2 linked regions of the Diceros bicornis minor genome follow. The protein of the gene in region 1 purifies or fractionates together with the protein of each later gene. This does not show direct contact. Links are inferred from orthologs where the notes say so. Each region holds a gene or a part of one and is shown in the gene's direction. Other genes may lie near its edges.

Region 1 (7,940 bases):
TCATGCCTCATCTAAAGGGCAGCAGCTAAATAATTTCATTCAGTTGCTGCTTTTTGAGAATTTGGTAATGTGAATCCAGTGCTGGCAGATTTTACTTTCCACTTACTATACGCCAGGTAGGCCCTGTTCTAAGTGCTTAATAGGCGATTTAACACAACCCCAAAGATGCAGTGAAGTTTTCCTAAAACCTGATACTTCAGCCAATTCATGGTAGGCTTCCTGGGATGTGCCGTTCAGCAGTATCTTCTCCTCGTCCTTTTTTTTCTTCATCTTTTCTGATCTTTTCTGAGGTACTTTGTACCCCCAAAAGATGGGCTGACGTTCTCTTATAACGGATGTTGCCTTGAGGCAGAGGAGAGTGCTCTAGAGTAAGTCTGTGCCCTTCTGGCTCTCTCTGATACGGTGCTCTCTCAAGGTTTGTTTAGGAAGTGGTACCCACAACATAGGTCAGTCTTTGTCTCTAGCTAATCTAAACAATGTGCTTTCAGCAAAATTTTCAACATTCTTTCAAACTTTTACGCCAAACCTAGAATTATTGCCTCAATTAATCTTTTGTGTTCTTAAAACATCCTTTCTTCATTGCAGTGCTTTTCTTTTAATGTCCAACAAATTCCTTTCTGATTTCTAAATGTGCAGGAAAAAACGTACGGTTGTGGGAACAAGTATAGCCAATCTTTTCATACCTGGAGAAATTAATATTTTTTCCAGAAAAGTGACCATATCTTGGGAGGGTACCAGCTGGTATTCAAATATGAGTCAAGACAGATGTCTGCCATATGCAGACCTGATTAAGATGCACATCAGTCCTTTTCAGCCTTTTGGAAAATACAAGTGACACAACAGTGATGGAATTTGAATATCATTGAACGTTCTTTACTAACTACATTTTGTGGCTGAAGTCTAGGGGAAAAACCCAAATAAAATTCTTCTAATTACAAATCGATGACTCCTAATCTGTATAGGAAGTCTATAATATGGCTGGGCAGGGAAGTCGTGGAGGGAACTGGTTTAAAAGATGCAGTGACAAACCAGCATATCAACAGCAATTCAAAGACGTTTTTAAGAGTTTTCAAATAGTTCTGTTTTTTTCTTCTTCTTGGAATGCATATCCTTAAAGGTTTGAATTATGTTCATCTGGTGGGACTCTAGAACTCCAGGGCAGAGCCGTGTGTGAGTCAGGACTTAGGAGCATTTAGTGAAAGTAGGAAATAGAAATGAAAGGTGACGGGCAGCCTGGGCTGCGTCACTGGGCCTGAAATGTGCAAAATGTGGGATCCAGGTCTCAGCCAAGAGTCGTGGTGTCCGGTTCCACACACCATCACGGTGTGGTCTCTCCTCTTTGGCTGTGTGTAGTGAGCAAGCCCGCTACTGGAAGATGGGTTTCTGGATTTCTATTTCCAGCATCTTGTGTGTGTATTCAAGATGTTGAAAGAATAAAGGCCTCTCTGGCAAACAGAAACGACCGGTGTTCTTGGCAAGCTGGCGATTGTTACTGATTTGCAGTTTAATTCTGGAGACCCACCGAAGAATAATTTAAGGAGGAATATTCCTGAAGGAGCAAGAGGAGGTGGAAATTTGAGGTCAGAAGGTACAAGCCACAGTTCTTCTGAAGTCCTTGAACTAGATGGTTCTCTAGTCTGTGCTTCTCAGACCTTGATGTGCCTACAGATCGCCTGGGCATCCTGTTCACCTGCAGATTCTGATTGAGTAGGTCTGGGTGGTGCCCGAGATTTGCCTTTCTAACAAACTTCTGGATGACGCTGATGCTGCCCGGCCACAGACCACAGGTTTAGCCAGCTCTTCATGATCTCTAGGCCCAAGCTTCCATTAGCTCTACCATTCTATGCGAGTCTGCTCATCTGATATTTCAGAAAGACAGGAAGGTTCCAGGAAACATGCCACCATGGTATTAACTATTCTGATTCTTCATAATCATCTTCATCAAAAACCCTTTAAGTGCCTAATTATGCATAACAGTTTCACATGCTTTACAAAAAGGACTAAATAGATTTGGTCCCTGCCTTATCAGACTTGACAACCTAAGACAGAGAGAGAAATAGGCATAGAGACAGTAATAAATATTGAGGCAGTAATAAATAGTGAGTGATAAATATTCATCCAGATGCAGAACATATTAAAGTAAAAAGCTTATGAATTTAGCGTGGGCCTTAGAATATTTATTTTCTTACAGCTTTTGTTCCTTTTAAAATCTGGGAAACCGAAAAGATTGCCCTGCAATTTTTACTTAAAAACAAGAGGTTTCTGTTTCTATTTTACAGATGGGGGTGGGGAATGGGAAGATCAGTTTCTGAGGCTTCTTTTGTTGTTGTTATTGTTGTTGTTTGTTTATTTTGGCCTCACTAACTTCAAAAGAAATATTTCATCAGCCCCACATACCTAACTCTAATTGCCATGTGCAGGTGTGTTGGCCTGATTTTATGTTGCTCAACGCTGTGAATGTGGACATAGGTTCATTAACCTCAGCTCTTCCTACCCAAGGGCCTTGGGCCCATCAAGTCATCCACATGCTATCCTTGGGCACCAGAGGAGGCAGGGCCAGACATTGTTATCTCTGAATTGTGGGCAGTAAACTGGTGTGTCCGAAGTCTCATGGTACTTAACTCACACAGGAGGTTTTGAATTTGTTTCTCTTTCCTCTGTTCACTTGCTGAACTGACCCAAGGGCTCAGCTGCCTTGGTGGAGGAAGGGATCAGATGAGTGGACATTGCTAGCATTTTCTCTTGCCGGCAGAACAGATTCTGTTCTTGGAGGCCAGGCCACCCACCCACCAGAGATTGCATTCAGGTACCCATGGTGATGAGCAGGTTTGTTATAACCATATCCCAGTTTAACAGAGTGATGCCAAACTGGCTTAGCTTATTAAGTTATTCTAGGTGAGAAACAGCTAAAAGAATTATCACAGATCTGGATAATATTTGCGTCTAACCAAGGGTGTCTGAATCAAATGTTTCCCAATTATGGGATTAGAGACCATTGGTTTATACCTTCTTGATTCAAGTAGGCACATATAATATTAATATTAATAATAGTAGTGGCTGTGTATATGCTTAGGGATGCAAGGATACAGAGAAAACTATACATGGGCACGCTCTTAGGGGACACCTGTGTGTTATCAAAAATGATGTGTGTGAATGAGGTGCTGCTTGGAGTCAAGTACGCTTGGGTTTGAAACTTGGCTCCACCACTCACTGGCTGAGCTACTTAACCTTTCCAAGCCTCAGTTTCCCCATCTGTAGAACCAGCATAACAATAGTCCAGGTCCCTTGGATTTCTCATGAGCATTACATGAGACGAGGATGTATGGAATTTGTAGCACACGGCCTGCAAATAGCAAGATTCATAACTGGTAATTATTAGTAATCATAATAAAACTATTACAAGTGCCAGCATCTGAAATCATTTGGGTCTTGAAAGAGAAGAGCGAGAGAGTCTAAATTTGGTATTTTTATAGTATTTCATGTGCGAGTATTTGTACGGGAGTTTGTATCTGAGTTAATGAAAATGTCACACTCTGTTTATTGAGAATAAAGCTGTTATTGAAGCAAAGCCTGCATTAATTAGGCTCAACCTCATCTTTCATTCTGTCATGTTGGATACAGCTGTTGTTTTCCTTGTTTTATGAAATTAACTATCAAGAGTGAAAGCAGTCTGCTCATATTACAGAAGATATAAAACCGTGAGTAGTTATTATTGCAGGAAGCTAAACCTTTAAAAGCCACAATGACAATACTATATATTTTGCGTTAGTGCCTGGTAATAGATCTATGTGAGCACGTGGAATTATGCAGGCTGGATCTAGGGAATTAAGTATCTGGTTGCCCTCTCGAAGACAACGAGAGCGGAGGGGGCTATCTGGAACTCGCTCTTAGAAAGCTAAGGGATGCCGTTTGCCTACAGACAGGGTGAGAATACGAGCGAGGGGCTCGGAGGGGCAGCATTCTTTAGTAAATGGAATCGGAAGCCTGCTAGCTATATCGTAAGGCTGCAAGGCGGACAGAGCAAGGGCGTGAGGCAGCTGGATGGAAACCAAGAAGCCAAAATGAGCCGTTTAAAGTGGGGGATAGGAAGCAGAGCCCCAGGGAAGTCCCTAACCTCAGAAACCTATTCAATGGCACCTTTTATAGGGTGCCTGCGGCTTCTGGTAGGGTGGAGGTTGAGCCAACTTGGCTCAAATGTAAGCCAGTTCTTCCTCAAATTGAGTTTGCCCGTGAGTCATCTGCTAAAATGAGGATTCTGGAGGGCCAGCCCAGTGGTGTGGCGGTTGGGTTCGCGTGTTCTGCTTCAGCGGCCTGGGGTTCACCGGTTCAGATCCTGGGTGTGGACCTATGCACGGCTCGTCAAGCTGTGCTGTGGCAGTGTCCCACATAGAAGCACTAGAGGATGTACGACTATGACATACAACTATCTACTGGGGCTTTGGGGAGAAAAAAGGGAAAAAAAGGAGGAAGCTTGGCAACAGATGTTAGCTCAGGACCAATCTTCCTCAAAAAAAAAACAAAAAATGAGGATTCTGATTCTGGAGGTACATGAGGTCTGAGTATTAGATGAGACCTCACACAGGGCCAAGAATACAGCAGGTGCTCAATACGTGTGCCTTCCCTCCTCTCTTCTCCCCCATCTGTGCCTTTTTGGATGGTCCCCATCCAGATTGCTGTCTTTTTGCATATTCTGGAAGTTAGATTATAAATATTATTATGTTTTAATAAGTCATCATTCATTTTAGACCAGTGATTCTCAACCGAGGGTGAGTTTGCCCTTTAGGGGACATTTGTCAAAATCTGGAGACATTTTGGGTTGTCACAGCTGGGGGGGGAATGCTAGTCCCTCAAAACAAAGAACTATGCAACCCAAAATGCTAATGCTCTATACTTTACACTGGTGTTTACAGTTTATTTCTTCTTCCAGTCTGTAAAAGAAGGAGAAGATTGAGAAGGATGTGACAGGCTGAGGACCCAGGTTGGGAAAGGTTGGAGGACCTACCTACCAGGTACCAGGATCCACTTACTCTTAATAAGCACACTACAGACGGTTTCCAGCTTAGAAACAGCTGCTTTATGAGATACTCATTTCTATATTAGTTGTTTAGCCTCTTAAAAAAAAACAAGCAAACAAACAACGTGGCAGAGGCATGGAGAACGCCGGATGGGAGATGACGATGATGGGACAGATGATGAGATATGATGCTGCCAGGATAAGCAGGCGCCATGACGGGGAGCTTGTCAAACCATGCCAAGTGGCTTGGGTTTTATCTCAAGAGCTGCAGAGAGCTGTGTGTATGGGGCTCTCACGCTCTTTCTGTACTGTAGTCACTCTGCATACTTCTGTTATTATTTATGTCTCTCTATATCATATATATTGGTCAGTTGGTCTCCTGAACTGGGCCTTACCACCTTTGCTTTTGTGCAGCACAGAGGTTTATCAGTAAGCATTTATTAGACAGATTTTGCAGCATCTCAAAATAGTGACATCTCCACTTTTGAACAGGTGCTAATCCCAAACACTTGACTCTGACGCAGTAGTTTAGAGCTTGAAATATATCTTCCTGGTTTTATAAATGCTGGGTTTTCAGGCTGCTGTGGAAACCTTCCAGAACCCACAGTGTTGCTGAGCTGAAATGCTTAGTGGTTCAGAATGGGGGATTTCCCAGTGAAAGGCAAGGAGAAGAGAATTTCCATTGCCTCTCTTTGTTGAAAGTGGACTCTTGGCAAATGTGGTCTTTACCCCTCTCCTCCTTCCCTGACATGTAACTCTCCTTCGCCTTCTACTGCACTTTTCTCTTGGAGCTCACATCCAGGAGGCTCTTCGAGCATGTGGGCAGGGGCCTCATGAGGTGGGATGGGGGTTGGGGAGCTCTCATCTTGCTGGCCACTGGAGAGTCTGACATGGCAGGTCATGGAGGGACCACAATCCTGCTTGTTGTCAACTTTACTCTTTCTCTTTGGTCTTTCTAGCATTGCTTTGTTTTTCATTCCTTTCCAAGAAATAACTTTCTTTTCCCCTTTAATCTTTACCAAAAAAGAAAAAAAATTGCATTGGTTTACCTCAGTGGATAATTTTTCTGAGAACATTGAGTCTAGTTGTTGGATCATTCTTTCGCTTTTTACTTCCACTTAGCATATTTTAAGATGCCTTCTTAGATACACAATCTACAAAAACAGAGTTTTAGATTTGAGATTACATTCCTCAAACTTGAATCACACATCCTCTCGGAGGAAGTGATCTTTGTAAGTGATACAGTTTTATCTTAAGCATAGAAAACCATGCTAACAAAAATATAGCATGTTTCAAGGTAAAGACATAAAATAATATGGCTAAGTCTATTATAGCAGTTATTACACAATTCTGTACGGTTTTGTTCCAGCCATCTTTGTTCTGGCAAGGCTGTCATCTTCTTGAGGTATGCAATCGAGGGTACCTTGCACAACTCAAAGGGTCCATGTTTGAGGTGTGTGGTGCTAACCCATAGTTACCGTCAGTGTCTGGGAGAAAGAGGTGGAATGAAGCAATGAGTAAAAAACAAAGCACGGGCATAATTATTAATCATTGAGAACACATGTGATTAATGCCATCATTTTTGCTTTCCTCCATATATAAAATTTGGGATAATGTATAGGTAGGTGATTGTTTTAAGAGCAAGTTTTAACTTATGTTTTTCAACATTCTTTTTTTATAGTATTAAAGTACTAAAGGTTAATTAAATAATTGTGAGCTGCTTTCTTTATTACTCAAAATTTTAATAAGAAAAAGTAATCATTTTGCCCTTAGTTATTGCAGTGTTACTTCAGTTCAGAATTTTGAAATTGTTTCCTCTTGTGTTTCCTTTCCAGAAAACACGAGGTCTTTCTCTTATTTCAACAGTTGAGTGCAACTTCAGAGCGCGGAGAGAGGGATTTCAAGGTATTCATTTATCTGCTTTTCTACATTCTCGCTTATTCAAGCTTGCTTTTACCTTAACTTTGTACAGGCGTCTGTAGTTTAGTTGGGGACTCTGAGTTGTAGAACTGCAGGCAAATAGCTTTGAAACTGGACAATCTCAAGGGTATTAGCTAGTCCAGTTTTCAATTTAGAACCGTGGGTCTTCTGCCATAGAGACCGAAACACCAGTGGTCATGCTTCCTTACAACATGGTGTTTCCCTGTGGTCAGTAAATGGGCACGACCTTAGCTCTGCCCTGTAATACCTATGTGAGATTGGGCAAAATGTCTACCCTCTCCATCTCTTTCCTCATCTTTGAGGTGGAGATAATAATCGGATAGCCTCATCAGTTTCCAGTTCCATGCAGTGCTCACCACCACTACCAACAACAATATATGAGGCTGTGTTTTACTGTTACTGTTATTAGTGGTATTAGTAATCTCATTTTGTGCTGATAATATCAAAATTCCTTAATGACCTTGGGTCATCCTTGAACAGAACTAAATCCAGAAAAAAATCATCCAACTGAAATGAACGACAGGTTAACACAAAGATGTTCTGTATCTGATTTTAGCAGTTGGTTTACTACATGGTTATCAATTTTTATAATGAATCCTGGACTTTGAAGTGCTATGTCCGTCCATTTAAAAGATTTACAGACCTCAAGCATTGTGACCTGACTGACCCCTATCCATCATATATCATTATCCAGTTCCTCTACAGGCTAGAAAGGAAGGGGTACATCTGGCCTGAATGTTCCCAGTCTCCTCACAGAAGGAATCTTGTAAAATAGGGCACTGTCTTTTAATGAAATCTTTCCTTCAACTTGTTGAGAAATTCTTTCTCAGGGCAGAGTAACCCTTTCTTCTTAGGAGAGCAGGGAGCAATTTCAGGGTCATTCTGGTTCCCCTCTAGGTCTTTCTAAATATAACTGCAGATCCTGGAAAACAGCCTGTGTCTTGTTAGTTAACTTAGTCTAAAGAATCAGTGCATTAAGAGCTTT
Region 2 (7,996 bases), on another chromosome or scaffold:
TCTAGTGGCTCAGCCACACAGGAGGAGTCCCAAGTACCATCACTGCGTAGAGTGGAGCCAGGAAATAGGTAAGAGTGAGTAGGTAAGAAAGGGCCAGAGTGGGAGGTACAGCTAGTTGGGATGTAAAAGAAAGGAACAGGCCATCTTATGACAAGAAAGTCTCCCTTGTTAGACTCCCACAAGGGTTCCTATAGGAGATCTGTTGGAAGATTACTAGTCACGTGTCATTTAATGATGGGGATACGTTCTGAGAAAAGCATCGTTAGGCGATTTCCTTGTTGTGCAAACACCATCGAGTGTACTTACACAAACCTAGATGGTGTAACCTACTACACACCTAGACTGTATGGTACTAATATTATGGGACCACCATTGTACATGCGGTCCATCATTGACCAAAATGTCATTATGCAGCACATGACTGTATATGAAATTAAATTTGTTTCCATTTAGACCCTCAAGGTTGACTAATTCCTATTTCCCAACACTTGAACCACACCAGGTAATAATCCAGCAAAGAAAGGAAAAAGTTTAAAAATATTTATTGTTTCTTCTGTTAAAAAATAATAAGTACCCAATGCAAAAAGTCCAGAAAATTAAGAAAAGGATAAAAAATAAAGATGACCTATAATCTGATAACTTGGAGAAAATCACTGTTAAAACTTTTGTATACGTACTTGCATACTTTTCAATGAAAATTTACATATATAAAGTTTAAAAACAATGGAATATATGTATAAACATAAATACATGTATATATACACACATACTTACTAATTTGTTGTTCAACTTCTGTCCCTTAAAATTTATTGTGAAAATCTTTCCAGAAGAAACAATAAAACTCTTTAAGCTTTTTCCTTCCTTTGCTGCTTTAATTTTCCCTTTTCTCTTCCTCTTCCTCTTCTCTGCCGTTTTTCTTCCCTTTTGAAGAAGACTTGCCGCAGAGGTGGTATCCAGAGAGGCTCCTGGCCAGGGCTGGGAGGGTTGAAGGCCTTCTGCTCCCATCCACCAAATCCCTTATTAATGGACTTTCCTCAATTTTTCATGTTATAAACAATGTTCCAATTACTTGCATCATAGGTATATCTTTGCAAACTTCTTCCATTCTTTCCCAGAAGTAGAATTGCTGGGTCAAAGGTATATACTTTAAGGCTTTTCATAAATGTTATTAAATTGTCTTCCAGAAGGGTTACACTAATTAACACTCCCACTAGTAGAATGTGGGTATCCATTTCCCTACATCCTTTTATGTCTTTGGCCAACTAGGTAGTTGGAAAAACTATATCTTTACATTAATTTTGTTACAAGTGAAGCTGAATCTCTTTTCACATTTACTGGTCATGTGGGGATGTATTTCCTTTACACGTGTTTTTCAACTGGAGTCTTCATCTTTATTTTCTTGTTGATTTTTAAGAACTCTATGTTAAGGATTCTTACCCTTGCCATATGTGGTGTTATTGAATTGACATTTAAGAGAAGATTAAAACTAAAATGTAATAATAAGGCAAGAAAATATTTTAACTCATACAAACAAGGAAAATGTTACATTAAAAGCAAGAGAATAAGAAATTCAGTTGAGACAAAATAAAGAAAGCCCAGATGGAAATAGGAAAATTTAAGGTGAAAGAAATAGAAAAATAAAAATAACCATTACTAGTCAAATCAAAGAGAAATTCTAGAACAATGCCTACCTTCTAATTTGTACATTTAACCTGTCCATAAGAAAATAAAACAAAATTGGGGGGATGTAGAGGACAATATGACTTATCTCAAGGAGTCCAGGGACAGTGTCCTGGATCTTTAATCAAGGTCTCTGTACAGACCTGCATAGCAGATCAAAATGGGGAAGAGTGTCCAAATCTTTCACAGTACTCTGTACACTTGTTCAGACCATTAGCAAATCCTCCCGAGGAGGCCAAATCCATTTAAAGCTACATTTAAGAAGGGCAACAGATAAAAAGGTAAGCAAGGAAAGAATTACAAAAACAGGATGAAGTCTTGATGGGAGCAGGTTAATCTGTCATTTTAATTGCATTGTCTCTTCTTTTTGCCCACTAATTAGATCAAGAAGCTATTAGAGTTACAGACGCTAAAAAGTGACTCCTCTTGAAGAAACCATAAGCAGTGAGGTGCCTTACCTAACCTACTCCAGATATCATGTAAGATAAATTCCGTCTAACACGGAATTCCGAGGAGGTCTATATCTTAAGAGCGGTTTTTCTGAGAGTACATGACAGTTTATCTTTAAAAAGGAGGAAGGCATGCATAAATTGCTTCCATGTCCATTTAGTCTTCACACAAGTAGTGTGAGATCAGTTTTACTATATCTCCATTTTATGTGTGAGAACAGTAAAGTCCAGAAAGGGTAAGAGATTTGCTGCATCAAGGTGCTCTCAACAGTGTGCACTGTGGAGCTGGAATCAGAAACAACTCTAGACCAGTGTTATCCAATAGAAATATAATGTGAGCCACATATGCTATTTTAAATTCTCTAGCTACATTAAAAATTAAAAGAAATAGGTGATTAACTTTAATAATATATTTTAGTTATCACAATACATTGACTGTTATCATCTTAACATGTAATCAACATAAAAGTTAATGAGATGTTTTACATTTCTTTTTTTCATGGTAAATCTTTGAAATCCAATAAATCTTTTGCATTTACAGCCAATCTCAATTTGCACTAGCCACATTTCAAATACTCAACTACATTTCAAGTACTTAATAGCCATGTGTGACTAGTGGCTACTACACTGGACAGCCTGGTTCCAAACCAGTGGTTCTCAAGGTTTTGGTGGTACCCAGACCAGCCGCTTCAGCATCACCTGGGAACTGTTAGAAGTGCAAATTCTTGGGCCCCATCCCAAACCTAATGAATTAGACACTCTGGGGCTGGGGGCCACCAATCAGTGTTTTACAAGTTCCTTCTGGTAATTCCGATACATGCTAAAGTCTGAGAATCATTGCTCTAGACAAGAGCCTTTCCATCTCAATTCAAATAAACTTAGGACAGCCATGGCAGGCTAGTACTGAAGAAGACGACCCCCTTCGCTTGAGATAAACAATTCTTGACTAGATGAAGTTGACATTCTCTTCTATGGAAATCTTCTAGTCCTAGTTGTGGTTCTATTTCTTGGGACTATGTTCATTTATCATTTTGCTTAAGGAGGAAAAAAGCCACAGTAACTACCCTATACTATCACATTGAGTTTTAGTTACTAACTTCTCTTGTCCTCAGTTTCCTCATCCATAAAAATGAGCATCGTTTAATGAATGTTAGCAATTAAAAAAAAAGTACTGTGTGCAAAAATAAAAAAGTCAGCAAAAGTGACTGATATTTTTAAACTACAGTTAAAACAATTAGTTGGCAGGAAAAGTAATATAGATTTTGAGCATAGAAGCAGAAGCCAACTTGCTTATATTTCTCAGAACATTAGGCTTGCTGGGGGAGGAGGGTAGGGTTCGTGCCAAAATCATTAAGGAGAACTAATCTGAGCATGCCTTAAAGCAGAACTTTCAGTAAACAGGAATTACCTATAAAGAAAATCAGGAAGCCAAAGTGTTTCTTTTTATGAAGTTACATCCTGCCATAGAAAAGCTGGATAGGAAATAAAGACTGATGCACTCCCAACTGTATACTAAACTGGCTATTATTTCACTAAGGAAAATCTGAGCAAAAGCTCAGATTCAGTGAAAGGAAGAAACATGAGAAGGCTGAGTGTCATGAGAAACCAATGACAACCAATGGCTACAATTAAACATGATTTTGGAAAAAACTATACAAACAAATCTCTGTTCTATGATTGCAGATTCCTTAGTGGCCGCCTGTCCTCTCCAACTTCTTCCTCCCATTTCAGTAACACTTGCTCCAGACTTTTGCTTGAAAATAATTATATATGTGTGTGTGTGTCCACAAAAATAGGAGACTAGTAAACTAATCCTAATTTTCTCCTCTTCTCCCTCCTCTGCTTTTTCTCTTCCTCCTCCTCCTCCTTATTATTATTAATAATATTAATCGTGCGTTTCCAGGGTTCTCTTAACTTTCCCAGGTTTCTGAGATGGCATTCTACCTTGCTCCGCAATCTTCAGTTTATCAGAGAAAACGTTTTCACCACCCTAACACTTTCCCTATTTCTCCTCCCACTGTCAGACACCAGAAAGGCAAGAGAGCCCTTTCTCGAGGCAGGTTCCCATGGTTTGGGGAGAATGGCAGATGCCTTTCTGCAGTGGCAGCTGCAACCTTCTGCAAAGCAGAAACTGCAGCTCATATTCTCTCCTCCTTCCCTCGCCCGAACCCACTACCTCACAAGTCCATACAATCCTCAAAAACACACACACAACTCCTCCAACCTCGCATCCCCTCTCACACCCTACACGGGCACGCGGGCCAGGATGCCCGCTGCTACAGCAACGCTCAGCCCACTCGGTGGCCCCACCCATTGCAGCCCCGCCCCCGTCCCAGACACCAATGGTCACCGCCCACAGCTCCCGAGGGGCCCGTTGATAGGGCAGCGGGGCCTGCCACTCTCAGGGTGCGTCCCGCCCCCTCCTCACTCTCCGCCGGGCTGGAGGGGCTGGAGCATCAGCGCGAGTAGCTGCGAGCAGCCGCGGCGGCGGCGGCGTGTCGTTGCAGTTGCGCCATCTGTCAGGAGCGGAGCCGGCGGGGAGGGGGCTGCCGCGGGAGAGGAGGAGGGGTCGCCGCGAGCCGGAGGCCGTTGAGACCCGCCCGCCGGCTGGCCGCGGGAGCAGAGGCGAGGCTACCTCGGAGCTCCGCGTCCTCTGCCGTCCCGGCGCGCGGCGCTTCACCGCGCGCACGGAGGGCTCCTCGGGCGCACACAAAGCCGCCGCCCGCGCTGCACCGCCCGGCGGCCGCCGCCCGCGCCAGGGAGGGATCCGGCCGCCGGGCCGGGGACACCCGGCGCCGCCCCTTCGGCGCTCTCGGAAGGCCCACCGGCTCCCGGGCCCGCCGAGGAGCCACTGGAGCCGCCTCAGCCGCGCCGGAGCAGGGCGGGGAGAGGACCATGTGAATGGGCTCCGGAGCCTGAGCGCCGTGCAGGTAAGCGGCCGGGGATGCGTCGCGGGAGGCCTCGGGGATGCTGCGGAGACGCGGGCCGCCGCCCCCGCCGCGGGGCCCCGCGCTGCAGTCTCTGGGCCGCCGCCGCCTCCAGGGCGCCCCGCGGGGCTGCCGGGGAGTTGGCCGCGCTCGGAGTCTTCCCGCGGCCGGGCTGGAGGACACCTCTGCGCGGTGCGGCCCGGAGGTAGCGCAGGGATGGGGACCCATTTCCTCGGCCGCGAGCGGGCGCGGGATGAGAATGGGAATTGGCTTGGGGGCGAGGCTGCCCCAGACTCCGCCCCCGCCCTCCTTTCGGGGCCCCCCGCGGGGACCCGGGCTGTGTGTGTTGTTTTAATGTCAGGGATGATGTAATCACTTAATAATTGATGCCCCGTGCTGCTTCCCTCCCCACCGCACCCCACCCCTGCCCCACTCCTCCACCTCTCGGCCTCCTTCTGCGGCCGTCGCCTTCCCCATTGCATCCTCCTGCCTATTTCTGGCACCTCCCTTGCACTTCCCCCATCCTCCCCTTCACTCTTCCTGTGCCTCCACCCACCCACCCTTCCCCTGTCCCCCGTGCAGGAGCCTTCGCTCCTCTTCCTCTGCCCCCCACCCCTTCTGCTCCCTCAGGCTCCTTTCTCCTCCCTTCCCTGCTCGCTGGATTTCCTCTCTACTTCCCTAGATCGATGACTGTTTTTGTTTGGTCGCCTCCCCTCTCTTATCTCTGCGGCCACAGGCGGAGGGGACTGGGCCAGAAAGAAGCCACCGAGCTTGGGCCCAGGCGGAGATTTGCTGGGACTCAGTGAGAAGAGGGATAATAAAATCACCCTTCTTGCCCCTCCCCCCATAAATCACACAGACTCGCCGTGTGTGTGTGTGTGTGTGTGTGTGTGTGTGTGACACAAAGAGCCCTTTCAGTGCATAGAGAGGAGACACACAAAGTACCCAAGGATGGGCGCTGTGCTTCTTGTTTCTCTTCCCTGCGTTTTCCCTTTCTCTCAGATATAGCAGTTGATCTTCTCTCTCAGAATCTTTCCTGCCACATTTACCAAAAAATAAAAGGCCCCAGATGCGGGGTGGCAGGTGCTGGCATTTTGCTGTATTCATGGACTGGTAGTGTTGACTGGTAGCTGCAGTGTTCCTTAGATTTAAGGGGGAAATGATTCTAGCTGTCATAAGAGTTGCTTTACTTTCAAGGTAGTCTCCACTCCGCCCAGTTTTAACCCCCTCTCCTTTCAGGGATAGATACTAAGAGCTGAGGTAGGGTACATTGGTGTGGGAGCAGAAGAATTTTGTTTCTGAATCAGCGAATTAAATTGGTGTTTGATAGGAGTGAGGCAGCCTGACTCGCTTCTCTCAAGTCTAAGGACTGCTCAAGTCTTTTGAAATGAATTGTCAGCCCAGTGATGTTGTTTTGCCCTTATATTTAAACAAGTTCCTGGGTGCATTGATAATACATCATTAAATTGGTATTTGGAAGACCACTGGAGACGGTTTCTCTTCCCTGCTTCAGGGTAGGCTTCAGACACCCACATCCTTTCCTCTCACCGCTCAAGTGACTGCAATATTTTCCACCCTTTGTGCATTTTTCCCCAGTCCCTGCCCCATGGGTACTCTGCTTTCAGTTAAAGAGACTCATAGATTTTTGGAGGAAGTGATTTGTTAGCCATCTCAGGTTTTAGGGGCACTTAGCTGTGAGCAAACGATATACACGATCTTTTGACTGAACTCTTAAACCATCTGCTTGATGTTCCTCTTAAAGAGGAAATGTTAATGTAATTCTGGGGCCTAATGTTCCATTTTGCAAGCCAGTGACTATTACATGTTTAATCGATAATGTCAAAACTTAGGACAAAGGTTGAAGTCATTGATTCTTAAGAGCGTGGCTCCTTGACTACGATAAGTAGTAATAGAACCGTCTCAAGTTTGTTCTTCAAGAATTTTATTAGAAAAGAGTTGTTATGATTCATTAAACGTTTACTTTTGCACTTTCTAAGGACATTCATCATGGAACATTTTATATTAAAAAAAGCGATAGGGTTGATGAGTGTACTGTAAAAACAAAGGGTTGTTTGTTTGATGCCAGACCCAAGATAGGAAAGTCAGTGCACGATAAACTCATGTTGACCAAGTTAAAGAGACATAATGATAAGGTTGAATGTGAACAAATGCACACTCTGCTTTCTGTACCTTTACCCTATGCTTTCTCTGGGTCTGGAATCTCCAACCCCGTCTGATTTGCTTGGGTCCTATTTAACCTTTAGGGCCCAGCTCAAAAGTCTTCTCTGTGATGCTTTCTCCACCCTTTCCCCTCCAAACAAATTACCATGCCTCTGACTTTGTTTTCCAACTTCAGCAGCAGGCCTTGTTTGGCTTGTGTCTGTTTCCATCATTAGTTGGTCAGCACGTTGAGAGAAGGAACCTGGGCTTATTTATCTTGTTTTCACAAATGTGACTTAGGTCCTTGGTATGTGCTAGGCTCCTAGATTAATGAGGCTAATGTTAGAAGCTGTAACAAATAGGCCTGCAAAAATCTAATGGCTCAAAAGCAAAAGAGGTTTATTATTCCTCATGTAATAGTCCAGAATGGGTATTTCTGGTCAGTGGGTGGCCTTCCTCCATGCAGTGATTCTGGGCCCCATGCTCCACCATCCCATAGCACTCCATTTTAACCAGCTTTCAGCTGGCAGAAGGACAAAAGAGGGAGTGGAGGGGTGCACCCACTTTTTAAATGCCTTGGCCTGGAAATGACACCTGTCACTTCCACTTACATCCTTTACATGAGGGCTAGTTATATGGCCACATTTAACTGCAAGGGAGCCTGGGAAATATAGTTTAGCCATGTGACCAGAAAAAAGGTCAAGAAGAAATGTATTTTTGGCCAGCAGCTTTGCCTTATGCTGCCACTCAACGAGGCACAGTCATTGCCCTCAATGAGTT

The links.
Region 2: the proteins of PAG1 (region 1) and FYN purify together in Homo sapiens (co-immunoprecipitation; 3 studies listed by BioGRID and IntAct, with this or other methods). This does not show direct contact. The link is inferred for Diceros bicornis minor from reciprocal best matches to the Homo sapiens genes PAG1 and FYN.

The regions. Positions count from the first base shown.
Region 1 is NC_080772.1:31,709,175-31,717,114, reverse strand, and holds the start of PAG1 (phosphoprotein associated with glycosphingolipid-enriched microdomains 1), read left to right. Parts: upstream 1-4,924; 5' UTR 4,925-5,009; intron 5,010-6,849; 5' UTR 6,850-6,919; intron 6,920-7,940. UniProt on the Homo sapiens protein: Negatively regulates TCR (T-cell antigen receptor)-mediated signaling in T-cells and FCER1 (high affinity immunoglobulin epsilon receptor)-mediated signaling in mast cells.
Region 2 is NC_080762.1:23,591,333-23,599,328, forward strand, and holds the start of FYN (tyrosine-protein kinase Fyn), read left to right. Parts: upstream 1-4,986; 5' UTR 4,987-5,059; intron 5,060-7,996. UniProt on the Homo sapiens protein: Non-receptor tyrosine-protein kinase that plays a role in many biological processes including regulation of cell growth and survival, cell adhesion, integrin-mediated signaling, cytoskeletal remodeling, cell motility, immune response and axon guidance.